Linked DNA regions of Macaca mulatta. The protein of the gene in region 1 purifies or fractionates together with the protein of each later gene. This does not show direct contact. Links are inferred from orthologs where the notes say so. Each region holds a gene or a part of one and is shown in the gene's direction. Other genes may lie near its edges.

The links.
Region 2: the proteins of PHB1 (region 1) and RB1 purify together in Homo sapiens (affinity purification with western blotting; 3 studies listed by BioGRID). This does not show direct contact. The link is inferred for Macaca mulatta from reciprocal best matches to the Homo sapiens genes PHB1 and RB1.
Region 3: the proteins of PHB1 (region 1) and EMC2 purify together in Homo sapiens (affinity purification with mass spectrometry; 3 studies listed by BioGRID and IntAct, with this or other methods). This does not show direct contact. The link is inferred for Macaca mulatta from reciprocal best matches to the Homo sapiens genes PHB1 and EMC2.
Region 4: the proteins of PHB1 (region 1) and SLC25A5 purify together in Homo sapiens (affinity purification with mass spectrometry; 3 studies listed by BioGRID and IntAct, with this or other methods). This does not show direct contact. The link is inferred for Macaca mulatta from reciprocal best matches to the Homo sapiens genes PHB1 and SLC25A5.
Region 5: the proteins of PHB1 (region 1) and NDUFS2 purify together in Homo sapiens (affinity purification with mass spectrometry; 3 studies listed by BioGRID and IntAct, with this or other methods). This does not show direct contact. The link is inferred for Macaca mulatta from reciprocal best matches to the Homo sapiens genes PHB1 and NDUFS2.
Region 6: the proteins of PHB1 (region 1) and STOML2 purify together in Homo sapiens (affinity purification with western blotting; 3 studies listed by BioGRID, with this or other methods). This does not show direct contact. The link is inferred for Macaca mulatta from reciprocal best matches to the Homo sapiens genes PHB1 and STOML2.
Region 7: the proteins of PHB1 (region 1) and VDAC2 purify together in Homo sapiens (affinity purification with mass spectrometry; 4 studies listed by BioGRID, with this or other methods). This does not show direct contact. The link is inferred for Macaca mulatta from reciprocal best matches to the Homo sapiens genes PHB1 and VDAC2.

The regions. Positions count from the first base shown.
Region 1 is NC_133421.1:60,600,427-60,603,926, forward strand, and holds part of PHB1 (prohibitin 1), read left to right. Parts: intron 1-1,487; coding exon 1,488-1,583; intron 1,584-3,101; coding exon 3,102-3,314; 3' UTR 3,315-3,500.
Region 2 is NC_133422.1:27,492,411-27,496,471, forward strand, and holds the start of RB1 (retinoblastoma-associated protein), read left to right. Parts: upstream 1-1,261; 5' UTR 1,262-1,404; coding exon 1,405-1,541; intron 1,542-4,061. UniProt on the Homo sapiens protein: Tumor suppressor that is a key regulator of the G1/S transition of the cell cycle. The hypophosphorylated form binds transcription regulators of the E2F family, preventing transcription of E2F-responsive genes.
Region 3 is NC_133413.1:118,698,778-118,702,865, forward strand, and holds the start of EMC2 (ER membrane protein complex subunit 2), read left to right. Parts: upstream 1-1,288; 5' UTR 1,289-1,324; coding exon 1,325-1,364; intron 1,365-4,088. UniProt on the Homo sapiens protein: Part of the endoplasmic reticulum membrane protein complex (EMC) that enables the energy-independent insertion into endoplasmic reticulum membranes of newly synthesized membrane proteins.
Region 4 is NC_133426.1:125,937,805-125,941,786, forward strand, and holds the start of SLC25A5 (ADP/ATP translocase 2), read left to right. Parts: upstream 1-1,182; 5' UTR 1,183-1,248; coding exon 1,249-1,359; intron 1,360-2,388; coding exon 2,389-2,875; intron 2,876-3,097; coding exon 3,098-3,238; intron 3,239-3,626; coding exon 3,627-3,784; 3' UTR 3,785-3,982.
Region 5 is NC_133406.1:105,680,624-105,684,579, reverse strand, and holds the start of NDUFS2 (NADH dehydrogenase [ubiquinone] iron-sulfur protein 2, mitochondrial), read left to right. Parts: upstream 1-1,156; 5' UTR 1,157-1,396; coding exon 1,397-1,491; intron 1,492-2,448; coding exon 2,449-2,555; intron 2,556-3,956. UniProt on the Homo sapiens protein: Core subunit of the mitochondrial membrane respiratory chain NADH dehydrogenase (Complex I) which catalyzes electron transfer from NADH through the respiratory chain, using ubiquinone as an electron acceptor. Essential for the catalytic activity of complex I.
Region 6 is NC_133420.1:64,622,061-64,626,263, forward strand, and holds the start of STOML2 (stomatin-like protein 2, mitochondrial), read left to right. Parts: upstream 1-1,403; 5' UTR 1,404-1,459; coding exon 1,460-1,504; intron 1,505-1,734; coding exon 1,735-1,872; intron 1,873-2,364; coding exon 2,365-2,464; intron 2,465-2,596; coding exon 2,597-2,655; intron 2,656-2,747; coding exon 2,748-2,849; intron 2,850-2,998; coding exon 2,999-3,133; intron 3,134-3,279; coding exon 3,280-3,424; intron 3,425-3,546; coding exon 3,547-3,626; intron 3,627-3,833; coding exon 3,834-3,962; intron 3,963-4,203. UniProt on the Homo sapiens protein: Mitochondrial protein that probably regulates the biogenesis and the activity of mitochondria.
Region 7 is NC_133414.1:74,375,339-74,377,956, reverse strand, and holds the end of VDAC2 (non-selective voltage-gated ion channel VDAC2), read left to right. Parts: intron 1-350; exon of another isoform or gene 351-488; coding exon 489-546; exon of another isoform or gene 547-1,514; coding exon of another isoform or gene 1,515-1,559; intron 1,560-1,633; coding exon 1,634-1,725; 3' UTR 1,726-2,118; downstream 2,119-2,618. UniProt on the Homo sapiens protein: Non-selective voltage-gated ion channel that mediates the transport of anions and cations through the mitochondrion outer membrane and plasma membrane.

The DNA.
Region 1 (3,500 bases):
AAAGTGCTTCCTGTTCAGTTCTCCCGTGCATCGCTAGGGAAAGGCACCGCTTCCCCCAGCATCTGTGCAGCTGTTTAAACAGCCACTGGACAACAGCCAGTGTTAACCCCGGGGCACTGCTCCACCTTGCTCCGCCTGCTGGAACCCCCGGGGGCTTGGGGCTCCCTCTGCTGGCAAGAGGCCAGGCTGCAGCCGTTCTGCAGGCCCTCCCCTGGTAATTACCGTGAACCTGAACACCTTGGCTGTGAGAAAACGCTGCGTAAAAACCTAAGGGAAAAGTTGGCATTTTACTAGACTTTAACCACATACTCCATTCTGGGGAAATGTGGGCTGACCACAGGAAACCCTGTCTAAGAGGTGTGAGAAGAAAATTAGGTTTCATGGGGAATTCGCTGCCCTCAGCTGGCCCTTTTAGAAATAAATTTTATTCCTTAATTATACATTTCATTTTTCATTTCTCAGGATCAGATTTTCTTACCCAAACTTTGACTGAGAGACTAGAAATGGATCAGGCGAAGTACGACAGCTGCAGTTAGAGTTCGGAGCTTAAACATTCTGGGAGAGAATGAGACCAGGATTTACTCGTCAGGAGCAGTTCGGGGCTGCTTTTTTAAAAGCAGAGGCTGGGAGAGCGGAGGAAGTGAAACAACTAGAATCTGATGGCAAAACCAATGCTCTCCTCTTGATTCTTTTTCAGTAAAAAGTAGGATGAATAAGTAAATTGCTCTAGGCTGGGCATTAGGAATGCTGAGGTCCCTTCCCATTGTTTGTGCTATGGTTAGGAACAGTCACGTCAGACCTGACATGATTAGGGAAGGTCTATGGATCATCAGACTTCTAAACCCTCAGCCCGACCAATGACTTTACCTGCTTTCTCTTTCTTTTAAACCCTTTAACAGAACCATTCACATTGGGAATAGCATGATTTGCGTTCTACCACCCCTCGTCCTCTTCCTGTTCAGTGGTGGAGCTGCTGTGGGAAGAAGTGGACTGGTTAATCCATAAGCAGAGAGCATCAGGCTCTTGGATCCTTGGGAACCAGCAGCCTCCCTCACTCTCAGGGGCCCCGTTTTGCATCTGGCCTTCCTTGGGCTTTGAACAAGGCATCAAAGGCGCTTGGAAGAGCACTAGTCAGTGGCGGGGGTCTTAGAACCCACAGTTCTCCTCTGGGGAGGTGGTCGATTGAATAGATACCTTCTGGTGCCCATGGGCCCCATCAAAAGCCCCAGGCGCCATTTGCTACATGAGGTCACTCGCTGCACTGAGAGTGACAGAGTAGTGTACAGGAGCAGTTGGGCAGCCAGAGATGCTGGGTGTAAACTCAGTTTGGATACAGATACAGAGATGGAAGAGTGTTCTGGCCTCACAGATGCCTCCAGCTGCTAGAGCCATTGCTGGCCTCTTCCTTCCAGCGGCCGTGGAGGCGTCCCAGCAGTGCTGTCTAAGCAATCACACTGCCTCATCTTGTGCTCACTCTCTCCCCTTAGACACATCTGACCTTCGGGAAGGAGTTCACAGAAGCGGTGGAAGCCAAACAGGTGGCTCAGCAGGAAGCAGAGAGGGCCAGATTTGTGGTGGAAAAGGTGAGCATTCAACCAGATGGCAGGAGCCTCTCTCCCCTTTCTCCTGCACTTAGCTTCCCCATTTGCTGGGTGGCCTGGAAATTCATCATCTGTCATCCCTTCTTCCGGGATAATCGGAAGGGGCTTGAAGGAATTGTACTTCTGCAATTGGTTCCAGAGTCTTCGGGGGCTAGTCAAGGATATGTGGAGTTATGTTCCAAAATCACCGAAGGGTAATTTTTCTTCCACTTCTCTGAGATCAAAAACACTCTCTTACAAATGAAAATGTTTCTCCTGGAGTATTTTCAGCTTCACTGAGAAGTCATTTTTAACCATACTTACATAGTGAAAGCTGACAGCAAAAAAGATCAAACGTTGCACCAGATGTGCTTTCGTCACTGGATTTTTTTCTAGTGCTAAATCCATCCAGATGTGTCAAAGAATGCGATGGGACGCAGTGTATTTGCGTAGCAGCCTGTTCTTTCTGGTATTTGCAAAGACATGTTTATTGTTGTCCCCCTCTTCCCACCACCAGTATCCCTAATTGGTGGGGAGATGGGGGCAGCAAGAAATAAAATGGGAAAAGAGGAATAGATTTAATTTTGGAGAATGAAAACACTGTGTGGGCAGGGACTTGCGTTGCTTTGTATCTTCCATAACTTCAGAGATTATAACAAGTCTAGTATAGTGCCTGGCGATAGTAGGTATACAGTAAATGTTTGTTAAGCAAATAGACGCAGGGCCCAGCCATTTCAAAATTGTATGTAATTTCAGGGAGGCTTAATACTGTCCTCTTCCTCACACTCCTGAAGGTCACACATTTCAGAGAACTGTCTTCCTCTTAATATTGGTAGGGCAGGCCTAGGAGGTCTCACTGTGGGTGCCTGGATTCTGGTCAGGAATCAGCCTAGCCCACAGGCAGCTCTAGGAACAGTCACAAGTGCATGCTGCTCTTCCTTAGCCATCCTGAGGTTTTTTGTTCGTGACAGCGGCTCCCTCTGTGGCCCAGGCTGGAATGCAATGGCATGATCATAGCTCACTGCAGCCTTGACCTCCTGGCTCAAGTGATCCTCCTGCCTCCGCCTCCCAAAGTGCCAGGATTACAGGCATGAGCCACCACACCTGGCCCTGTCCTGGCTTTGATGAAGTCCTTTAGACTTGGGGCTGGAAGGAAAGATGAGCCTTGAGGGTTGATTCCATTTTTCTTTTGCTTCTGTTTTCCTTGGCCTTGGATCCTCCTGGCTCAGAGTAGAGTTGTTAAGCTAGATTGCAATTAATATTAATGAGGACTTTGAAATAAGACAAATATTCATGCAACCAACAGAAATGTATCTCTCCCGTGACGAGTGAGCATGAAAGGGAAGGGGAGGACTGGTGGGCTGTGTGCTCTGCCTCCCCCCACCATCAGGAGGAGGTAAACTCCCCAAGTTCCTACAGGAGCCTGGGAAGGTGGCTTTCTGGTGAAGGGCCTTTGGTTGTAGCCTGACATGCGGTGCCCTGAGGTTTGGTCTTAGTCTGTCTCCACCTCCATTCTTTTAGGCTGAGCAGCAAAAAAAGGCAGCCATCATCTCTGCTGAGGGTGACTCCAAGGCGGCTGAGCTGATTGCCAACTCACTGGCCACTGCAGGGGATGGCCTGATCGAGCTGCGCAAGCTGGAAGCCGCGGAGGACATCGCATACCAGCTCTCACGTTCTCGGAACATCACCTACCTGCCAGCGGGGCAGTCTGTGCTCCTCCAGCTGCCCCAGTGAGGGCCCACCCTGCCTGCACCTCCGCGGGCTGACTGGGCCACAGCCCCGATGATTCTTAACACCGCCTTCCTTCTATCCCCACCCCAGAAATCACTGTGAAATTTCATGATTGGCTTAAAGTGAAGGAAATAAAGGTAAAATCACTTCAGATCTCTAATTAGTCTATCAAATGAAACTTTCATTCTT
Region 2 (4,061 bases), on another chromosome or scaffold:
TAACAGTGTCTGCCAAAGAGAAGAAAACACGTACTCAAACTAGATAATCTATTGATATAAATACCAAGACATAGAAGTGATACAGCTTTAAGCCAATGTTTGATGGTGGTAGTCCCAGCAAGCTCTTTTCTGATGTCTTTGTGCCTTTGCACATGCTCCTTCTCTGTCACTGTTTTCTTCATCAACATAATGTAATGGACAAGTGGAATCAAACAGAGTTGAGTTCAAATCCTCTGCTACCCATCTGCCCTGGTATTGGACAAATTAATTACCTCCTCTGAGCCTGTTTCCTCATCTGCAAGCTAGACTAGCTAATACTACCCATTTGAAAGGGCTGTTTCTTAGCTACATGCATGCGGGGCTTAACACCTAGATGACGGGTTGATAGGTGCAGCAAACCTCCATGGCATACGTATGTCTATGTAACAAACCTACACGTTCTGCATCTGTATCCTGGAACTTAAAGTTAAAAAAAAAAAAAAAAAAAAGGCTCTTCCTGGGGATTAAATAAGATAATTATGTAAGGTGGCCAGCACAGTTCCTGGTACACAGTAAATGTCAGGCCTGCCTGACAAACTTCTATTCAACAGCTACTGCTCCCCTGAAAATCTTCCTTAGACTTTTCCACGGTGCTTGCCGTTTTTACACCACTATCATCTTTTATTACACTACTATCCGTTCATTCCCCACAGCTCCCTCCCTTCCTTTCCCTAACCAGTGATCCCCCAAAAGGCCAGCAACTGTCTAACATTTTGTATCTTCTAGTGACTGGTAAAGTTCAGCATCTACTAGCGCTCCAAGTTTCTTTTTGTTTTGGCCGAGTTTGCAAAACGGATTAAGCGGGATGAGAGGGCGGGCGCCGCCCAGAGAAGGAGAGCGGCGCGCCCGCCGAGGGTGCACTAGCCAGATACTACCTGCGGGGCCCGAGCGTCTTCCCTATCAGACCCCGGGATAGGGATACGGCCCACAGTCACCCGCCAGACTCTTTGTATAGCCCAGTTAAGGGCAGCTCGGCTTGGAGGGGGTGGTTCCGGGTAGAAACACGTCCGGGCTGCGCCGGATGCTTCTGGGAAGGCTCCTGGACCCACGCCAGGTTTCCCAGTTTATCCCTTCCCATCTAGCGTCCCAGCCCGCGCACCGACCAGCGCCCCAGTTCCCCACAAACGCCGGCGGGCCCGGGAGCCTCGCGGACGTGACGCCGCGGGCGGAAGTGACGTTTTCCCGCGGTTGGACGCGGCGCTCAGTTGCCGGGCGGGGGACTGCGCGTCCGGTTTTTCTCAGGGGACGTTGAAATTATTTTTGTAACGGGAGTCAGGAGAGGACGGGGCGTGCCCCGACGTGCGCGCGCTGCGCCCTCCCCGGCTCTCCTCCACAGCTCGCTGGCTCCCGCCTCGGTAAGGCGTCATGCCGCCCAAAACCCCCCGAAAAACGGCCGCCGCCGCCGCCGCCGCTGCCGCGGAACCCCCGGCACCGCCGCCGCCACCCCCTCCTGAGGAGGACCCAGAGCAGGACAGCGGTCCGGAGGACCTGCCTCTGGTCAGGTGAGCGAGCAGAGCCGCCGCCGCCTCACGCGGGAAGGGCGCCCCGTGTGCGTAGGGCTGGCGCCAAGGCTGCTCGGCGGGACGCGTCCTCGCCGGGGGCCGAGTCCCGGCGTGAGGAGACGCCCTCCCTGCCCCCCGCCACCGCGGAGCGTCTGCAGAATGGTGACAGGATTTTGGGGTTGCGGGCGAGGGGTCTTGGCTTTAACTTGACACGTGTCGGGCGGGTGGGTCTAGGGTCCTGAACGAAGTGACAGGTGCAGTTCCCTCTTGTGAGGCTCAGAGGCAGAGGGTCGTTGCGAGCGTCCATCAGACGCAAAAAAATGAAAAATAAAAATACAAAAATGGTGTCTGTGGGAGAGTTCTTCACCGGTTGAGAACTGGAGTACTCCGGTGGTCGTCTGACTTTCAGTTTTGGTCTCACGCGATGCAACAGTTGGGAAGTATTTTCTTCTGGGCGTGCACTGCATCTGAACTCCATTCGTGGGAGAGGCCAACCAGAAAGCCTTGGACAAGAAGCACAGGGTCCTGAGTGTCCATTGCCTGCAGGATACTCGGCTCAGGAGCCTTGCGGCTTCTCCTTAGAACAATAATGCATCGAGGCCTTGGGGACTCAAAGCCATCTGTAGTGATTGATGGAATGTAACTCTTTAGAGGAACTGATACATGGGCAGAACTTTCGTGAGACGTTTACCAGAAGTGCTTGAAAGTTTCTAAACTTTTTTTTTTCTGTTGGATGAACTCTTCTTGCGTGTTAGTCGGCCTCAGCTTGTCTCATTATTACTTCCATTTTGCCTTTTGACTTTGAACCAGCAACGATCCTGGTGTCCCGTCTTTTTGCCTTTGTTTTTGGCACAAAATTAGTGGTTCTGTGCTCAAATGGAAATTTTCGTTTTCCCTTATTAAATGGAATCTAAATTTAAGCAAGTCCATGCGAATGCACTAGAACTTGAAGGGAAGTATTTATTGTATTGCATCATCTTACTTTTCTTGATTGTACTACTTTATGGTTAAATAGCTATGACTGAAAGAGTGTAATTGTCATTATTATTGTCAGCACTGGTTCTACTTTGAGATTACAAGTTCATTGCAGGGGGAATGGGACTTGTTTCTGTTTTTCACTATTTTCTCCCCTATTCTTGCCCATCACCAAATCCTTTCACCCTCACCCATTTCTTTCCACTCGGCAGACACTAACAGAATTAACGGCAGAAAAGATTGAAGTGGGATTTAGGAAATGGCCCGTGGAAGGCTATTAAAAATTTATATATTTAAATGGACTGTCTTATAGGTCAGTTAAAAACCATATTTGTTAAAAAACCAAAACAACAACAACAACAAAAAAATTAAAAACCACGTCTGGGGCATGTTCTGGGAAAAGACATGACTTTAGTTTCTGATTAAATTCTGATGTATCCAATTCTTGCAAATTTCCCTTTGGAAAATGCAGTAATGGCTACTCTAAAGAATTCCATGTTATGCACACAGCTTTAGAAGCATACTCTAATGTAGGGTAACCAGGAATATTGACGTTCTGACCACTGCTTGGAAAAAAGAGGACTGTTTCTTTCATTTTTTAACTCATTATTTTATATATTTTAAGTAATGGAACTATAAAAAAATTCTCTTATAAGTCAGATCCATACAAGATACAGTCTGTTCTTGATTATCCTTACCCACAAAGGGTTTCATTAACATAGACAATTGAACTCTATAAATTAACCAGCAAGGGTAGAACCACTGCCGTGCAGTCTGATGCTGAGCATCTTGCCTGGAGATGGAATCAGGGCTCAGTCCAACTGCACTTCCAGTGACAGATTCCATTCCTAATTTGAGAGTTGAGATCTTATTTCTGTTGCCTTATCTCTGGCCTAAGTAATGTAGCTGGAAGGGAAAGTGTCACTAGGAACAGCATACAACATTCATTGTTGAAATAATCAAAGGTTAATCATGTTTCGAGCTGGGCATGACGGCATGTACCTGTAGTCCATGCTACTCAGGAGGCTGAGGCAGGAGGATTGCTTGAGCTTGGGAGTTGGAGGCCAGCCTGGGCAACAAAGCAAGACCCCAGTCTTTAAAAAAACAAACAAAAAAGTTGACCAGGCATGTTGGCTCACGCCTGTAATGCCAGCACTTTGGGAGGCTAAGGTGGGAAGATCGCTTGAGGCCAGGAGTTTGAGAGGAGCCTGGGCAGCAAAACAAGACACTGTCTCTACAAAAAAATTTAAAAAAAAATTATCCAGTCGCTGTGGCACGCCTGTAAGCACATCTACTTAGGAGGCTGAGGTGGGAGGATCCCTTGAGCCCAGGAGTTTGAGGCTGCAGTCAGCCATGATTTCACCACTGCACCCCAGCCTGGATGACAGAGTGAAACCCTATTTCAAAACAAGAAAAAAAAAAAACAACGAATTATGTTTTGAAGGAGGAATTGGCAATCTAGAATAGTGGTCAAGGGCATGGATTATAGAGTTAGATTGTTAGGCTCACATGGTGGTTTACCTCTTACCGGCTGAGACCTCAGGT
Region 3 (4,088 bases), on another chromosome or scaffold:
TAGTGATAATTCTGTATTGTACACTTTGAAGTTTGCTGAGAGATTTTTAAGTGTTCTCACCACACACACACGTACGGGAAATATGTACGGTGACGGATGTGTTAATTAGCTTGCTTGTGGTAATCATTTCACAATGTACATTTACATCTAATCATTACTTTGTATACCTTAAATATGCACAATTTCTGTCCATTATACCTCAAAAAAGCTGAGAAAAAAACCCCTCCACTCTTTTGACTTGTGGGATACGATTATTTCTACTTCTCAAATCAAATGCCCCTTCTTCATTGACCCATAACTCATGGCTGCATTGCAGTGATTTTTAGTTTTTCCTCAGCTTACATATTCCTCCTCTACAATCTCATGTCCCCCTTGCTTCAAATACTAAATATATGCTTATCATCCTCAAATTTTTTGCCTCCTGTCCAAACACTTCTCCTTAAGTCTAGGAGATGACGTTCAAAGTTTCCTAAAAGCAATTAGTCTGGTGGGAAAGGAGGCTGCCCCATACACCCAGGAGTAATGAGGAGAGAAGTTCAGGAACTGTGAAGGTCTCATTCTTACATACTCGCGACAGTTTCAAACCTAGTGTGGCATGCAGACATGGATGAAGCAATTACAGGCACGAGGAGCGTTAAAGAAGGGTACAAGCGAGCACGAGGGCATTCAAGGGAACTTCAAAGCTCAAAGGAAGAATCCCACTTACTCCCTCAAAACTTTGGAGTTTATCCGTTTAGTCGATTAAAAAGTGAACAGAAAGCAAATCCCATTAGGGAAGGAGGAAAGTTGGGGACAAATAAGGAATTCGTGCAGAAGGCTACACTGCGGCCGGCCAAGAAGAGAATAAGGGTACTTAAAGGAGTGTGAAGAGAATGAACACGCCTACGTAGAAAAAAACTGAAAAGCCTGGATTGGCGGACACTAAAAACCCAGCATTTGTTAAAAATCCACGGCAAAAAACACAAACAAAAACAAAACACACACGCACATACACACACAACAAAACACTCACACACACATACCCCTACCCCTCAAGCCGAGCCAGCACCGTCGCCCTGCCAGCAGCCAGAGTATTCTCAGATTCCGGGAGCACCGCGCACCGCCCACCTCGCTCCGCCCACTGTCCAGTTCGCTCCGCCCATCTTGTTCCGCCCCCTTCCCCGAAAGCCCCTCCGCAGAGCCGCGTGCACGTGTGTGGCAGATACCGCCCCCACAGCTCTCTTGGCCAATGAGAAAAAGCAACGTAACTCTCCACCGCCCGGTGGAGCGTCACGTGACTGCGTCTCCCCGCCCTCTCACCCCGCTGCTTCTAGGTTCTGGGAAGATGGCGAAGGTCTCAGAGCTTTACGATGTCACTTGGGAAGGTAACTTCGGGTGGGGACGGGTGCGGAAAGACTAAAAGCGCTGGGAAGCCGTTCGGGAGTACCCGCTGCCTTCGGAGAGCTGGATTCGCCGGTCTCTTTTTGGTACCAGAGCCCTCAGTGGACGGGCCAAGCTGAGGTGGAGGCTGAGGCTGACCCCTTCCTTGGCCCGGGCGCGTACTCCGCGGCGTTTCCCACGGTGTCTGCTCATCCGTTGACCTGCCCTCCTCCGCGCCAGTCCAGCGGCCCAGGGCCGCTTTTATTTATGAGGCGGGCGGGAGGGACTTGAGGCTAGGGTTGTCACACTCTAAGCGTGGTTGCTGGGCGGTGCGGAAGAGGCGGAATAGGTGGTTACTGAAGCTTCTTTGGAGCCAAGAAACACAGGGCCTCTAAGGCCCTTTACTAAGTGCTATGTGAGGATTACAGCTCTTTGCAGAAAAGCTGTGTAGAAGTTGCGTGAACAAATGTGATTCTCATATGCCACTCTACATTTGGTTTTCTCCTTAAACCTGGATTTCCAGTTTCTTTTCCTTTTAGTCTAGTCTCTGTCCCTCTCCATCTCAAAACACGTTTACACACACAACACAACTTCTTACTCCCTACTAGTAGATTTTTTTCTGAAGGGAAAAATAACTGATTAACTCTGGTCTACGTACGTGCTTACGTGTGATGGTCACTTTTCCCTATCCTTAGTTGATCTAGAGTGGGATATATTCTTTGAATCTGGGAACAGCCAAACCTTGGATCAATTCTGTGTGCTTAAGAAACTTGAGTTTCATTAAGGCGTGGAATTTGTGTAATTGGAATTCATATTTCCAGCATTTAGCATAATACAGGAGACTTCAGTAGCTAGTTTGTTCAACGAATGCCTTCTTGGGATGTTTTAATAATGACCTGAAAACGTGAAAGTTACATTTTCTGTTTTATCGTGAATAAATGTATCAGGTATTATAAAGTTGTAAATCCGTTACAAATAAAGCAAAATTCCTTTATACTTGAACTGAATTAAATGATTTGTTGGCTTTGCGGCCTCTAGCACGTTGTGAATCTCAGTATTTATACCTGAATTGAGGGATTCCATTATATTAAACAACAGTGTTGATTTCTTAGTGCAAAATCTTGGATCTATCAACACACAGTCCATACTTCCAAGGAATTCACAATCTAATGGAGAAAACAAACCTATAAACACAGTTTTGAAAGGCTTGTGTCAGGGTATCTTCCGTAAGCTGGATGGTAGATAAATGGCTGTTATTTTTAATGCTTTTAAAAAACTGTTTTAAATATTACATAATTTTTAGAAAGTGCTATTATGAAGGTATGTTCATTATAGCTTTCCTAGATGATAGTAGCATTTGTAAAATCCTGAGGGGCGAGTAGCTGTATGCTACCAACAGACAAGGTGATTTAACTGAGTAACTTGGACCTTACCCTGTGGTCATTCTAAAGAGGATTGATGTAATTGATTTGGAATAAATAATTACTACACAAATTTGTAGGAATAAAAGAGAAACATTTTTAAGTGTTTCGTAAACTGTTAAGTACTATATAAAAGGAGGTGTTATTATTAGCTAGTACTAATATGATTATGTCCCTCCTCTGTGATCTGGACGTTGTCCGTGTCTCCACCTTTATTTCGAGCCATTCTCCCTCTCTCTCTGTGAGCTGCCTATGCTGGCCTTTGTTGAATGCCCAAAATTGCTATGCTGCTTCTTAAAGCTGGCACATGCTAGTCCTTCCACTGGGAGTGTTCTTCCCTCCTTGCCTCACTCTTGCCCCCATTAAACTTTATCATTTTATCAATTCCCCACAAAGCTCACCTAGTACAAAAAAGCCTTAGTTGAACACTCTACTGCCCAATTCCCTTTCCTCATCTCCCACCAAAATTGAAAAAGAAAAAACCCAAACAACAAAATCAAGCAACAAAACACACCTGTAATCCTTCGATTATATATTCTGTTCTCATACTATTGAAGCACTTACCCAATTGTGTTTTTAAAATTTTGTCTCTTCTAAGATGAAAGGGACCAGGCCTGTTTCTTCACTGTCACTTCCCTAGAGCCTGACACATGGGGACGGAGCTCAGTAATTATTTGTTGACTAAATGAATTGTTAGTGGGATTAATAATAAACAGTAACACATTGTCAGAAAATATTATAAACCATTTTTCTAGCGTTGAAATAATTTCTTTAGTATCTTAAAGATTTCAGTATCTTAGATGAAATTAGGCAACTTGCTTAAGTAATAGGATACCGTGTGCTCACTAGTAAAGTGAAGGTTTAGACCTTTCCAGAATTCAAATTCTAACTTAAGGGACTTTTAAGAAAAGAGTATTCTAGATTTTTATTTCAGAGACTTATGATAACAAATTTTTAGGATGAAGGGTGATGGAAAGATTCTCAGGGATAGTGTTTTCAGATTTTTTGGGGGCGTGTGTGTCAGAGGTATGTCCTTAGGAATTCCACTGAACAGTGTTGTGAATTGGTTAGTTCAGAGTGCTATAATTCTTGTGATAGGAAAATTTATCATTTGTTTATAAAAGACCTATGTAGTAAGTTTAACACTTCCACATCTGTGTTAGACTCTACTAATAGACTATTTGGTTTGTTTCTTCAGCCAGTTGAAAGTGATTAATACTTACTACGTAGGGAAGTTATTAGACATTTGGAGGTGGGAAAGAGAATTTAGACTTGTAAGGAGAGTATATTCAAGTTTCTTGAGAATAT
Region 4 (3,982 bases), on another chromosome or scaffold:
ATTCAGACACGGAATTTGTGATTACACTCTCTGCTCCTGTTCTGAACCTGAGGGAGTCCACTTAAGCGAACAAGTAGGTTTTTGAGGACATGTGTGGCAAATGCTTACCCAGTGAAGGGATTAAGGGGCTCAGTAAGCACTTGTCCATTGGCGCAATGGCTGCCAATCTAATTCTACTGATTCCTCTAAATGTTTCTGGAGTTCAGAAATCTATTCGATCCAAGGGCACTTTACCTGGGGTCCTGGAAGCCAAATGTCAACGTAGTTCTTAACCTTCCTAAGCCTCTTAACCTTCTGGGTACAACCTCTATATTTACCTTCTGGCTAAAATCATTTCCCCACCCCCAGCCCAGTCCTTTGGACTCTCCCAAGCCAATTCCTGGCAAGGTCTTTGTTGAACTGTATTTGCAAACCAGGGTCTGGGGCACGGTGGCAGTTCCTTCGTCTGTTGTTCCCTTAATTTCGTCTGGTTTCACTGGCTCCAGGACAGTGCCCGGCCTAGGGTGGGAAGAGTGAGGCACTCACCTTGGTGAAACACAACTCAGTAATTAAGACAAATGATTTTTAATGCACTATTTAAAAAAAAATCAAAAGCAATGCAAAAATTCATGATGAACAAATGATCAGCATTTGAAATACAGACAGGATCCCAACCTGCACTTGCATGACTTTGTCTCGCTTGCCTCACCCTGAATTCAGCCTTGACACTTCAATTAAACTTTATTTACAAAACAAGGGGGCCGGCCAGCAGGATGTTTGCCCATACGACTTTTTTAAAGTATCGTTTATCTCGATGACTGAAGGGTTCTTTTGGCATCCCTGTAACAAATGCGTCTCACCCTAGTTCTGCTCCAAGGGTTTTTGTCCAGGCACACCGTGACCTCACCGTTCCTACCCACTCCGAGGCCTCTGTCAGGGTTCAGCGTTCAAGTCCCGGGTGTCCTCTGGACCCGCCCCTTCCTCCTGCCGGGTCAGGTGCCGAGGGCGAGCCCGGGCGGCGCGGAGAGCGGTCCCGGCCAGCCCTCCACGACTCCTCCCCCTGCGCGCTGGGCCACTCAGCTGCTCTGCCGCCCAGCGCGCCGGGGCCCAGACCCCGCCCCGGCCCCGCCTCCGACGCCTGCCGCTCCGGCGCCGGCTCCCCCTATATAAATCGGCCATTTGCTTCGCTCCGCCCCGCAGCGCCGGAGTCAAAGCCGGTTCCCGGCCCAGTCCCGTCCCGCAGCAGCCTGCCGCCTCTTTCCTTTCAACATGACAGATGCCGCTGTGTCCTTCGCCAAGGACTTCCTGGCAGGTGGAGTGGCCGCAGCCATCTCCAAGACGGCGGTAGCGCCTATCGAGCGGGTCAAGCTGCTGCTGCAGGTACGTCCTGGGATCCAGGAGCCCAACCAGGAAGTGGGGGGGAGGGTCGCACAGAAGGCGGGCGCCCGAGGGGTGGCGGGGAGCGAACTCCAAAGACATGGCCAGGGAAGCGGCTAGGAGAGGCCAGAGCCGGGCGCAGAGGCAGAGCAGAAGGCAAACTGGTGGGAGGCGCCTTTAGTGACCTGAAGTTGTGAGTCTAGAAAGGGGCCAGGGGCGGAGAGCAGGACCAGGCTCTCGGCATCCCCGAGGCGGCCGACTCGGATGGAGCAGTCCCTGAGTGACGGCCTCCCCGGGCCTGGGCGTCAAGGGCGAAGGCCGAAAGCCGGCGTTAGAAAGAGGAACGCCAGTTCTTAACGAAGACCTCAAGGTCGCGGCAAGGAGATAACTGCCCGGGGAAGGCCATGCGCCCGGGTCCGGCGGCCTCCCAGCCCGCGGACGCGCTCAAACCTCGCCGGGCCGGAAGCCGGCGCCGGGAAGCGCGTGTTCCTTTTACGTCCGCCTCCGCGCAGCCGCGGCCGCCGTGTCCCCTCCGCCTGCCTCCCTGCGCCGCGCGCTCTCCAGTGCTGGCTCTAGAGGGCGCCCCTGGGCGAGCGTGTAGGGGTGCCGGCGGCGGCGCTCGGGTCACCTCTGGAAGCGGAGTGGGGGCGGAGCGAGACGGAAGCAGCTCAGGAGACCGGAGGCGTAGGCTGCGGTCCCCAAGGTGACCGCGCCCTATGTGGGACTCGCCCTAATGCCTCTGAACCTGGGTTTGAGGTAATGACCTTTATCTCAGGTTTAAAGGTCACGAGTCCGCTGGAGGATGCCCCCTCCCCACTCAGAGGGGTGGAGGCTTAATACCTCTGGTGCCGATCACCTCTTCCCCTGTGACAGCCTCATATGGTTGGGAGGCTCCAGCCAGTATGATATACGAAGACTAGATTTGGGAGAGGGGAGCCAGCCTTAAAGGGTATTGATCCATATGGCATATGCCCTTCTCTTTCCCTTCCGCATGGTTATAACTGTCCCTGTTGGCTTCTTCCTGTCTGTTAGGTGCAGCATGCCAGCAAGCAGATCACTGCAGATAAGCAATACAAAGGCATTATAGACTGCGTGGTCCGTATTCCCAAGGAGCAGGGAGTTCTGTCCTTCTGGCGCGGTAACCTGGCCAATGTCATCAGATACTTCCCCACCCAGGCTCTTAACTTCGCCTTCAAAGATAAATACAAGCAGATCTTCCTAGGTGGTGTGGACAAGAGGACCCAGTTTTGGCGCTACTTTGCAGGGAATCTGGCATCAGGTGGTGCCGCAGGGGCCACATCCCTGTGTTTTGTGTACCCTCTTGATTTTGCCCGTACCCGTCTAGCAGCTGATGTGGGTAAAGCTGGAGCTGAAAGGGAATTCCGAGGCCTCGGTGACTGCCTGGTTAAGATCTACAAATCTGATGGGATTAAGGGCCTGTACCAAGGCTTTAACGTGTCTGTGCAGGGTATTATCATCTACCGAGCCGCCTACTTCGGTATCTATGACACTGCAAAGGGTAAGTTTGCTGTGGGCTTTAAAGTTGTGTTCTTAGGAGACAATTTAAAAGAGCGTTGTACCAACCTAACATTCCAAGAGCTAGAGAGTTTTTTTAATTGCTGAAGGAAGCCAAGATCATCCAGTGCGACCCTCATGCACAGATGACATGTTTAGGGGATGTGGGGAAAGGAAGTCAGTAAAACTCTACTTTTTGGTAAAAGCATCTCTTTCCTATTCCCAGGAATGCTTCCGGATCCCAAAAACACTCACATCGTCATCAGCTGGATGATCGCACAGACTGTCACTGCTGTTGCTGGGTTGACTTCCTATCCATTTGATACTGTTCGCCGCCGCATGATGATGCAGTCAGGGCGCAAAGGAAGTAAGTTCCCCTTGAGCAGAAGATAAAATTGTAGGCGTGGGGCAAGCTGCGGCCACAAACTAGTGATGCCCACCTTTAGAAATGGCTGGCTGTCCAAGTCAAGGGATGGGGTTGATAGCATCTGTGTCTATTCCACAGCTGCCTTTGATCCGGCCCTTCAGATGCCTATGAATGAGGGTGCTTAACTGGTATTAGAGATTAAGACCAGTGGGTAGTCTGTGTATTCCTGTGGTCACAGCATTAATATTTCAGTGTTGCCCATGCTAATGTGTGAATGTTGGGTTTAAAGCTGATGTTCTTAGAGGTAGGGCTCTGCTTTATTTAGCCTAGTGAATCTTAGGATTTTTCATCGGCCTTCAGTCACCAACTCTGTCTTTATTCTTTGCAGCTGACATCATGTACACAGGCACGCTTGACTGCTGGAGGAAGATAGCTCGTGATGAAGGAGGCAAAGCTTTTTTCAAGGGTGCATGGTCCAATGTTCTCAGGGGCATGGGTGGTGCTTTTGTGCTTGTCTTGTATGATGAAATCAAGAAGTACACATAAGTTATTTCCTAGGATTTTTCCCCCTGTGAACAGGCATGTTGTATTATATAACATATCTTGAACATTCTTGACAGACTCCTGGCTGTCAGTTTCTCAGTGGCAACTATTTACTGGTTGAAAATGGGAAGCAATAATATTCATCTGACCAGTTTTCTCTTAAAGCCATTTCCATGATGATGATGGGACTCAATTGTATTT
Region 5 (3,956 bases), on another chromosome or scaffold:
ACTTCTCCCAGGCTGGATCAAGGCAAATAAATGCAATCCTTCCCATCCCCCACCACCATGGCCACATTTGCTGTGTTTCAACAATAGACAGAAAGAAGACCCAGGGAAAGAGCAAGGAATGAGGAGAGCAGAGGGACCAAACCTCTGCCCTGGCTCTGTGGCAGCTCCCTTGTCTAGCCCAGGTCCTGGTCAGTTCCCACAGCCAAGGATCTGGCCCCACCCTTTGGTACAGTTCCCATTAGGTCAATTCCCAGGCCAGAAGTCTGGCTTTCCCCTCTTTCTCTGCAGTGAAGAATTCCTCCGTCTCTGCTTCCTGGTCTGTCTGCCTCACCCTGCTGCGCTGCTGGTGGGCTGTGTCCCAGGGATCCTGTCTAGGGGATATCTGGGGAAGGCGTCTTTCCAGGCTCAGAGTTGGAGAGTTGTACAGACTCTACGGGTGGGTGGCCCAGCTGGAGTTGGGCTTAGAGGCAGAGGGAGAAAACAGGAACTAGCCTCTAAGGCTGGAAAAGTCTTTGTCCATACAGAATTGGGATCACACTCCTGGTGCTACGACATTTCCATGCTGTTGGCCATTACCCAGGAGGGCTATAGCAGGGTCAGAAAGACGTTAGGGAAAAGTGGCTGACGCAGGACGGAAGTGGGGTGTGAGGCATCTCTAAGGGCGCTTCCTGGGTCTATGATTCTGTAGGTTCGGGAAGCCTGGCGGATGTCAGGGTCACCCAGAGGACTCCATTCCCCCATGTGGGATGAGGTGGCTCCTACACACCCCGATACTCCCCTCCGCGCCACCAATGCCGGTGGCCTTGGCAATCCGATTCTTTTTTGTTTTGGTTTGGCGGGAGCTCTCAGACCCGCCCAGCCCCACTTAGGCTCCTTTCTCCAATCTCAATTTAGGACATCTGGAAATTAGCTGGCTTTCCCGACTCCGATCTTTTGGATTCAGTGATGGGAAGGTAATTGGCAAAGCCTGGGGCTACCCTATAAGGGCAGGGCTCAGATACAATCCGAGAGCAGGACTAAAGCGGGAGGCCGGCCAAGGCGGAAGGGAGTAGGGAAAGAAGCGCCGCACGTTTCCGAGATGCGCAAGCGGGCTCGGCGAGAGAGCACGAAGTATTTGCCCCTCGCAGGAACGGCAATTTTCCCTTGCTCGCTCCTAGAAAAGCCAGCCAGGAGCTGTGGGAGGAACCGCCCTCAGTAAAGATGATGGCTGTCACCGTTATCTAAACGCAAGTGAAGCCGAGTCACAGGACCCGGATGTTGTCAGGTCGACGGTAAACGACCCTGCCAGCTTCCAAAAGGGCGGCTTCACTGTGCGAATAGGTGAGAAGCCAACAAGGAGGCGCGCTGGAGTCACTTCCGCCCGGTTCACCTTCCCGCAGTCTGCAGCCGGAGTAAGATGGCGGCGCTGAGGGCTGTTTGCGGCCTCCGGGGCGTCGCGGCCCAGGTCTTGCGGCCTGGGGCTGGAGTCCGACTGCCGATTCAGCCCAGCAGGTGAGATCGAGGGTAGCCCTCGACACACGTTCTCCAAGGGTTTCTCAGGTTGGGGACGCTTTACTCCCCCAGAAAAGAATAACCCAAGACTGTGACCCCATTGTCCATCCCTGACTTCTTGGGCTACAAGATGCGGTGGCGCCCACTCTGGCGAGGGAGGGGAGAGGGTCTAGAGTTCGTTCAGTCCAGAGGTGAAATCAGCGGAGTGGGAGACCCTGCTTTTTAGCTTCCGTAATTTGAATGCACCTCTCCTGTACCTGAGTAAAACTCAGCCAGAGCCAGAATGCGCGCTGTCTCTGTCGTTGACCTTGAATAAACACTTTTCTCACGTTCATGTTCACCTGGTTGATAATATCAATATGATGAAAATATAAAGAAGCTAGGATTCCAACCTTGCATGCCCAGGGGTGATGGGTGAAGTTATTCCAGGAATAATTTGTTAGTAGGAATTGAACCTTTAGAGTTCCAGCTTATTTTGCCGAAGCTACATTAACTTCAGATCAGTGACTTGGCATTTAAAAAATCCAGGACACTGGCCGGGCGCGGTGGCTCACGCCAGTAATCCCAGCACTTTGGGAGGCCTAGGCGGGCAGATCATCTGAGGTCGGGAGTTCGAGACCATCCTGACCAACATGGAGAAACCCCATCTCTACTAAAAATACAAAATTAGCCGGGCTTGGTGGCACATGCCTGTAATCTCAGCTACTTGAGAGGCTGAGGCAGGAGAATCGCCTCCTGAGGCAGGAGAATCGCTTGAACTCGAGAGGCGGAGGTTTCAGTGAGCTGAAATCGCGCCATTGCACTCCAGTCTGGGCAACAAGAGCGAAACTCCGTCTCAAAAACAAAACAAAACAAAAAAACAGGACATCCTTCCTGGGTCCCCTTGAGAGTAAATGGGAACACAGGAACCACACACTGTTCAGGCCCTTTGTCTAGGATTTGTCTTTAACTCCCCAGAGGTGTTCGGCAGTGGCAGCCAGATGTGGAATGGGCACAGCAGTTTGGGGGAGCTGTTATGTACCCAAGCAAAGAAACAGCCCACTGGAAGCCTCCACCTTGGAATGGTGAGTGATCAGAGTTGCTGTCCCAACCCACACCCATCCCTGACCCCAGCTGATTTCCTTTTCTTTTTGTGAGACAGGGTCTCCCTCTGTCTCCCTGGCTGGAGTGCAGTGGTGGGAAAGTGGCTCACTGTAGTCTTGAACTTCTGGGCTCAAGGCAACCTTCTGTCTCAGCCTCCCCAGAAAGCCGCAGCAACAGGCCTGTGCCACCACAACTGGCTAATTTTGAAAGTTTTCCTTTTGTAGAGACAGGGTCTTGCTGTGTTGACCAGGCTGGTTTCAAACTCCTGGCCTCAGGTAATCCTCCCAACTCAGCCTCCCAAAGTGCTGAGATACAGGCTTGAGCCACCATGCCTGGCCTCCAGCTGATTTCTAAGTGCTCTTGAACTCTCTGTCTTAGGCAAGTTTTAGCCCCTATCCTGTTTGTTTCTTTTTTTTTTTTTTTTTTTTTTTTTTTTTGAGACGGAGTCTCGCTCTGCCGCCCAGGCTGGAGTGCAGTGGCCGGATCTCAGCTCACTGCAAGCTCCGCCTCCCGGGTTCACGCCATTCTCCTGCCTCAGCCTCCCAAGTAGCTGGGACTACAGGCGCCCGCCACCGTGCCCGGCTAGTTTTTTGTATTTTTTAGTAGAGACGGGGTTTCACCGTGTTAGCCAGGATGGTCTCGATCTCCTGACCTCGTGATCCGCCCGTCTCGGCCTCCCAAAGTGCTGGGATTACAGGCTTGAGCCACCGCACCCAGCCCTGTTTGTTTCTTTCACGATGAAATTCAAGAGACATAATAGTGATAATAACAGGTATTTGTGAAGTAGAGAAGGAAAGGAAGGATGTTGCAGAAGAAAATAAAGAATGGGTCCCAGTAAATACCCAAAAGTCCTTATCAATGTAAATCTTAATGCCAGCTTTTCCCATGTTCAATACACGTAAGGTTCACTACATTATCTCCCTCTCCAGACAAGGTGGTGGTTTTCCCATTGGTACCCAAATGAAACCTATGTGAATACAAACCATTTTTTTCCTTTCAAAACTAGCTCTTCCTTTTGACTTTTGATTTTGATCATTGGGACCCTCATTCCCCTAATCCCTCAGGATTGAAACTTTTTAGTCATCTTTGGCTGTTTTATCTTGCCCTCCATATCTATGTCCAGTAAGTTACCAAACTATGTAGATTCTTTCATAATGTCTCATATCTGTTCATCTCTCCTTCTTAATTTTCGTTGCCATCATTCTTATTCAGAGTTATCTTGTATTAGACCCTGATTATTTTAGGAGTCTATTTACTGAGTTTTTGCCACTGATGTTGTCCCCTTTCTATATATCCTATACAATGTCATCACCTTCATCTTCCCCAAACATTATTTTACCATGTTATTCATACTCTTGCTCAAAAACCTTCAGACACTTGCA
Region 6 (4,203 bases), on another chromosome or scaffold:
TGTGAGAGAGTGTACATGTATGCACACACACAGGGGTTAACCACCCCTCACCTAGGGCTCCAGACTCCAGTTGTCCCTCTCCTCCTGCCTGTGTCTCCTTGCTTTGGGGTCCTGACTGAAGAAGGTGTCCAGGGGGCAGAGTCAGGGCCAAGCACTGGGGTGCCTCCACTCACCTGGCCAGACTCTGACCCACCTACCTCAGCTGGGGTGAGGGGCACCCCTCAAACTCAGTCATGTGGTTCCAAACTACCCCATTCCCCACTCCAGACTCTGACCCAGCCTCAGTCCTGACTCCTGAGGCTGGGCTGAGGGGAACAAGCATTTGCTGAAACTTGAAAAAACAAAGCAAATCAGAAACAGGAAAAAATTGTACCTGGTACTTTTTTTTAGAAAAAAAAAAGATTAAAAAAGAAAGAATAAATTCTTGTTTGGAAACTTGAACTAAGCTCTACTTTTGTTGTTGTTGTTGTTGGGGAGAGGGTGCGAAGGGGGATAGAGGGCCTTCCTGGAGCTGGGACTCAGCCCTTTCTACCAGAGAGGAGGCAACAGGCCTGGGCCCATGAGGTCTTAGGCTAGTCCCTGCTGATTCCTGGGGCCTGGTCTTGCTCCTTTCAGAGGGGTTGGTGGGTAAAGTTGAGTCCTAGAAGCTGAATTCTGAATTGTAGATCAGGATTCTGATACTGGTTCTGTTAATGACTTTAGCCCTTCAGAACTTCAGTGCCCTCATATGTAAAATGGAGGTGACTACGGAGGTCTCTTGACTACCAGAACATCAGGGATGTGTGCAAGGTGACGTGCTCCAGACAAGGTTGAACGTTGAGGCTGTTTGCCGGACTCGGTATTTAAGACCGGGCATAACAAACCTTGCTTGGAAAGAGAGGGAAGGAGCTGTAGTGTCTTTGAGGAAAGAGGGGAGGGGAAAATCTCGTCCCAATCGCCAGGCAATGTTAGGCCCAGTTTCCATGGCAACGGGATTGGGGTCAGTCCCCAGTGGGAGTCCTGGGCACAACACCGCGGGACTACTATAGAATGTCACTATGGCAACCATGGCAACGAGTCAGCTCAATCCACTCGTCGCTATGGTGACGGATGGGCGCGATTCTACGCTCTGGTGGGCAAACTGAGTCTCGGGTGAGGGTGAAGAATTCAGTGCGTGGTGTCTGAGTGATATGCACGCGAAAAATAATTTGGCCATCAGGCCGGGGATCTTGGTCGCGAACAGCTAAACCCAGAACAACGGCAGCCTTCGGCCTTCTCTTGAAGGTCTGCGTTTCCCAGGGAACAACTTGATGCGCCGTTCGACCAAGTAACGCTGATTGGGTGAGTGTTGAAGGGAGTAGGGAACGGCCGGAAGTACATTCGGGGGAGCGGAACTGCAAGAGGAAAGGCTCGGGTAGGCTTCTGGGAGCTACCGCTCCGCTCGTCTCGTTGGTTCCGGAGGTCGCTGCGGCGGTGGGAAATGCTGGCGCGCGCGGCGCGGGGCACTGGGGCCCTTTTGCTGAGGGTGAGAGCGAGGCAACCTATCCAGAGGGTCGGGACAGAGATCACCTGGGTCCTCCGCTGGGAAAGAGCGAACTTCCAACTTTCGGAGAGGACTGGGGTCAGAGGTCATGGTCCCCATGTGATTCTCTCTCCGAGGATCCTGAGGGTCGTGGTTTATGGAGATACCTTCAGGACCGAGGGGCGGCGTGTTTGGCCAGATGGGATCTCTGCTCACCCTCTTCTTTCTTTCAGGGCTCCCTGCAGGCTTCTGGTCGCGCTCCGCGCCGCGCCTCCTCTGGATTGCCCCGAAACACCGTGGTACTGTTCGTGCCGCAGCAGGAGGCCTGGGTGGTGGAGCGAATGGGCCGATTCCACCGGATCCTGGAGCCTGTGAGAACCTCTTCTGCCCATCCTGGGCCAGCCAGATGACCAATCCCTCACGACATGGAGTGTCGGGAGGACCTCTTTTGGGCCTGCCCGCACTGTTAGCTCCCGACTCTGTAGGCCAGACCTGACAGGGCTGAGGCTGCTGACCATCATCCCCATGTTACCACCTTTTCCTATGCATCTCACAGTCCCCATTCTTGGGAATCTCCTCTGCCCACTCTCTCAGCCCTACCTCTCAGTCTGCATTGAGATGGCTATTCTGCCAGCTCCGATTCTCATGACTCTCCCTTCCATTCAGGGGCCTAGTCTTGCATTCCTATTCTCTTGGGTTTTCTTACCAGTGACACTTCAGCCTTATGAGGACTTATTTCTTGGTAGCAGCTGCTGCTTTTCTGGGCATGTTCCATGTGTTGACTCCATACATACTCCAGGACTAGCTTAGGTCTCAACCCAATAGTTCCCATCCTTCTGAGGACCCATGACTCCTCTTCCCAGGGTTTGAACATCCTCATCCCTGTGTTAGACCGGATCCGATATGTGCAGAGTCTCAAGGAAATTGTCATCAACGTGCCTGAGCAGTCGGCTGTGACTCTCGGTGAGGGGTTCAGGGTGACATGGGTGCTCTGAGGCTATTAGGATGTGGTTGCTGTAGATCCACAGCTTAGGAGAGAGAACTGGTTGGGACCTAGAGGCCTGACTTTCCTCCTTTTCTCTCCTGGTTCTACAGACAATGTAACTCTGCAAATTGATGGAGTCCTTTACCTGCGCATCATGGACCCTTACAAGGTATCTGCCCCCTACTTTATCTAGCCTTTTCAGTTGCCCTCTTCACTAAAATCTTGTGCCCAAGCTTCTTACACTATCCGTGTCCGTTTCAGGCAAGCTATGGTGTGGAGGACCCTGAGTATGCCGTCACCCAGCTAGCTCAAACAACCATGAGATCAGAGCTCGGCAAACTCTCTCTGGACAAAGTCTTCCGGGTAAGCAGATCTGAGCCAGAGTTAGGGTTTGAAGACACAAACCTGACACTCAATCTTTTCTGAAGGTCAAGATCAGTCCCAGGCCCTTCTCAGTGTAGGCCCTTGATAGGTAAGTTGAAGCTGTGGGGCTTATGCCTCTCTTTTTCCAGGAACGGGAGTCCCTGAATGCCAGCATTGTGGATGCTATCAACCAAGCTGCTGACTGCTGGGGTATCCGCTGCCTCCGTTATGAGATCAAGGATATCCATGTGCCACCCCGGGTGAAAGAGTCTATGCAGATGCAGGTGGGAGCCAAGGAGGGGTAGGAAAAGGACCTCAGGGTGCTCCAGTCCCAGGAGGATCCAGACTTCCCTCCTGTTATGATGGGTAGAGTTGCAGGTCTGTATAACTTTCCCTTGGCTTGTTGATTGGGATTGTTGCGGGCTTCCAGGTGGAGGCAGAGCGGCGGAAACGGGCCACAGTTCTAGAGTCTGAGGGGACCCGAGAGTCGGCCATCAATGTGGCAGAGGGGAAGAAACAGGCCCAGATCCTGGCCTCCGAAGCAGAAAAGGCTGAACAGATAAATCAGGCAGCAGGTCAGGAGAGGGTAGAGGCTGAGGGAGGAGCAAGGCATGGGCCTTTGAAGATTGGTGCTGGGGCAGAATCTTTGGGTACTTTGACTTCATGGGTCAAGCAAGCTCTGTCCCTTCTCTTGCAGGAGAGGCCAGTGCAGTTCTAGCCAAGGCCAAGGCTAAAGCTGAAGCTATTCGAATCCTGGCTGCAGCTCTGACACAACATGTGAGAGGCCCCTGGGTGGGAATGGGGGACAGGAATTGACAGTGGAAGGGGTTCTCTTATCTATGCTTAAGGAGAGTTCCTGCCTCTGTGGGCTCTGTTGAACCAGATTACATAGTCCTTTTTATTGTGAACTGCTTTCTTCATTCCCCATCCACCCCTTCTTCTCCGTATCTATAATCTCTGATTTTTATCCCCCTGTGGTCACAGAATGGAGATGCAGCAGCTTCACTGACTGTGGCCGAGCAGTATGTCAGCGCGTTCTCCAAACTGGCCAAGGACTCCAACACTATCCTACTGCCCTCCAATCCCGGCGATGTCACCAGCATGGTGGCTCAGGTTAGAGCTCTCTGAGGACCCAGCACAGAGCACCTGTGCCAGGGACCGAACTGAGACCCCACCACCGTCATCAACACTTAGATACCATAAAGGTCTTCAGAATGCCTTGGCCCTAGACATCCCTTCATTCTTTGTAGAGATGGAATCTAAGAATGAAACATCTCCACTCAGTCCTGCAAATATGGAAGTTCTTGAGATACCTTTTTTTGGTAGATACCTGTGCTGGTATTCTGAGAGTCAC
Region 7 (2,618 bases), on another chromosome or scaffold:
ATTTTTTTTTTTTTTTTAACATTGATGGTTTTGGTTCTTTAGGAAGAGTCCTGAAAGTAGGAAAGTTTACATGTGTGTAACTAAGTCATGAATTTAAACTTGATACCCTGCACTTTAAGGCTGCTGTGTGTCACCTCTAGTGAGCCTGATTTGTACCACATTTGGTCTGGTTTTGTTGTGCTAGACTAGAATCGACAAAGATGATTTTTATGAGAGTGCTTAGGCTCTTGTGCTGTACGGACAGTTTGGGGTCTTTGGATACATTCCAGTGGCTATCAGGAGTATCGTGTCCTACTGACAATTTGATTTTTGAGTTGAATGGATATGAATTAAGTAGTACCTGATTTCTGTTTGGCTTAATACATAATGAATTTTATTGTCTCGTGAATAAAACTGAACACTTCACGACTACATGATGGGGAAACATGTAGGGGGCTTTGTCCCTACTGAAATATTTTTCTTACAGTTGTTTTTGAATTTTATTTTAGGCAAAAGTCAACAACTCTAGCTTAATTGGAGTAGGCTACACTCAGACTCTGAGGCCTGGTAAGTATTCTTGATAAAGTAGGATTGTTTTGATATTAAAAAAATTAGTTTTCATTCTTCAGCTTATTTTTCAGACCTTTCAAGCACACAGAAGAGTTGAAAGAAGAGTACAATAAATACATGTTTACCTTTTGCCACAACTCTCTTTCTTTCCTTCCTTTCTTTTTGTTTCTTTTCCTTTCTTTCTTTCCCTCCCTCCGTTCCTTCCTTCCTTTCTCTTTCTTTCTCTCTCTCTCTCTCTAAAATAAAAGTAATTTTTATTTTGTTGATAAAAGTTCACTCATTGCTTTGGTTCTGTCTATAGTCTTGTTGACTTTATATAATATTTTGAAGCATGCTGTGTCTAGAGCAGCATTTCTCCAACTTCACAATGCACATGACTCATCTTGGAGTCTGGTTAAAGTACTGGGGACTTTCCCCCCTCCAAATAGGGATTTTCCTTCCCAAAGTTTATTTTGGCGATTTTGAAACCTAAAGAAAAGTTGGAAGAATGGTACAGTGAACATCATATACCCTTACCCTATGTTGACCAGTTATTAAAATTTACAGCATTTATGTCTCTGAAACTTCACATACTTTTTTTAAAAAACTGTATGTTTTGCAGACATACAGACACGGCAGCTCCTAGCATGTGTATCCTAAGAGTAAGACATTTTTCTTTATAAGCACAATACCATTATCGCATCTAAGAAAACTAACATTAATGTAATACCAAATATATATTCAGATTTACCCCGTCCCCAAATGTGTCTTTATTGTAGGTTTCCCTTTCTAGGATCTAATTATGATTATGTCTCTAGTCTCTCTTCATCTGGATAGTATACTCAACATTATTGTATATTCTAGAGCACTTTGAACTTGTTATTAAAACATTTCTCTGTGACTTGGTGCCTTACCTAGAATGGTAACCCAGTCCTTCTGGTGTCTCAGATACTTCCAAGCGCCCTCTGGTGGCCAGCACTAGTAGGTCAGCTGACAGGCTGAGGAAGTGACAGGCAGGCTTCTGGGGATGACTGTGAAAGAAGGCTCAGACTGAGTGAAGTGCCAGGTACATCACAGTGTTTTGTTTTTGTGTTTGTCTTAATAGGTGTGAAGCTTACACTCTCTGCTCTGGTAGACGGAAAGAGCATTAATGCTGGAGGTCACAAGCTTGGGCTCGCCCTGGAGTTGGAGGCTTAATCCAGCTGAAAGATACCTTTGGGAATGGATATCAGAAGATTTGGCCTTAATATATTTCCATTGTGACCAGCAGCAGGCTTTTTTTCCCCCAAGAAGATGATCAAAACAAAGAATGATCTCAACAAGAGCTGTATTTTAAGTATTTAGACAGTTCCTTGTTAGCTGGTTTCTAGTTGAATTGGTTATCTAGTTACCAATGCTGCAGTCCTGCAGTCACCTATACATTATTTAAATGTATTTAACTGTTAAATGCGCTACCCACCAATAATGAAATAGACCTTTATGAAAACTGTGCAATTGTGTGCATGTTTGTTTTTATGTTCCTTTAGAAAACATTGACTATTACCATTGAATGAGATGGATCAGTGGATATTGAGATGAGGTTAAAAATTTTGTTAAGTTCAGCCATTATTACTTTTGGTATCCCAGAACATGACAAATTATGAATAAAACAAGTATACATAATTAATGGCTCCAAGTATTTGCAGAGTTCCATGTTTGCCAGCTAGGGTCAAATCTCCGTGGTAGCTAGCCAGTATTTAATTTTTCCAGTGAGTATTTTGCTCTTTACTTAAATCTGTGCCACAGAATCTTCTGTGTCCCTAGAATAATTCCACGAGCTTTTTAAGACTACAGTAAGAGGATACATGCTTTTATACTCTTCAGTTTGTAAGTCTGTGCAGAATTGCCCTGCATAACTGAAAGGAAAAAGAAGGTGCTGAAAAGATACACAAACACACCATACCCCTGTGAGCTACTGCTAGGAAAATAAAGTAGGCCCTGGTTTGGTGCGATGGTGTTAGGCGTACAGAAGAGTAAGTTGTAGACAGTAAGGGTAACCTGTGGGACTCTGAGAGATCATTACTCATTTCCTTCTAGGCAGACATTGAAAG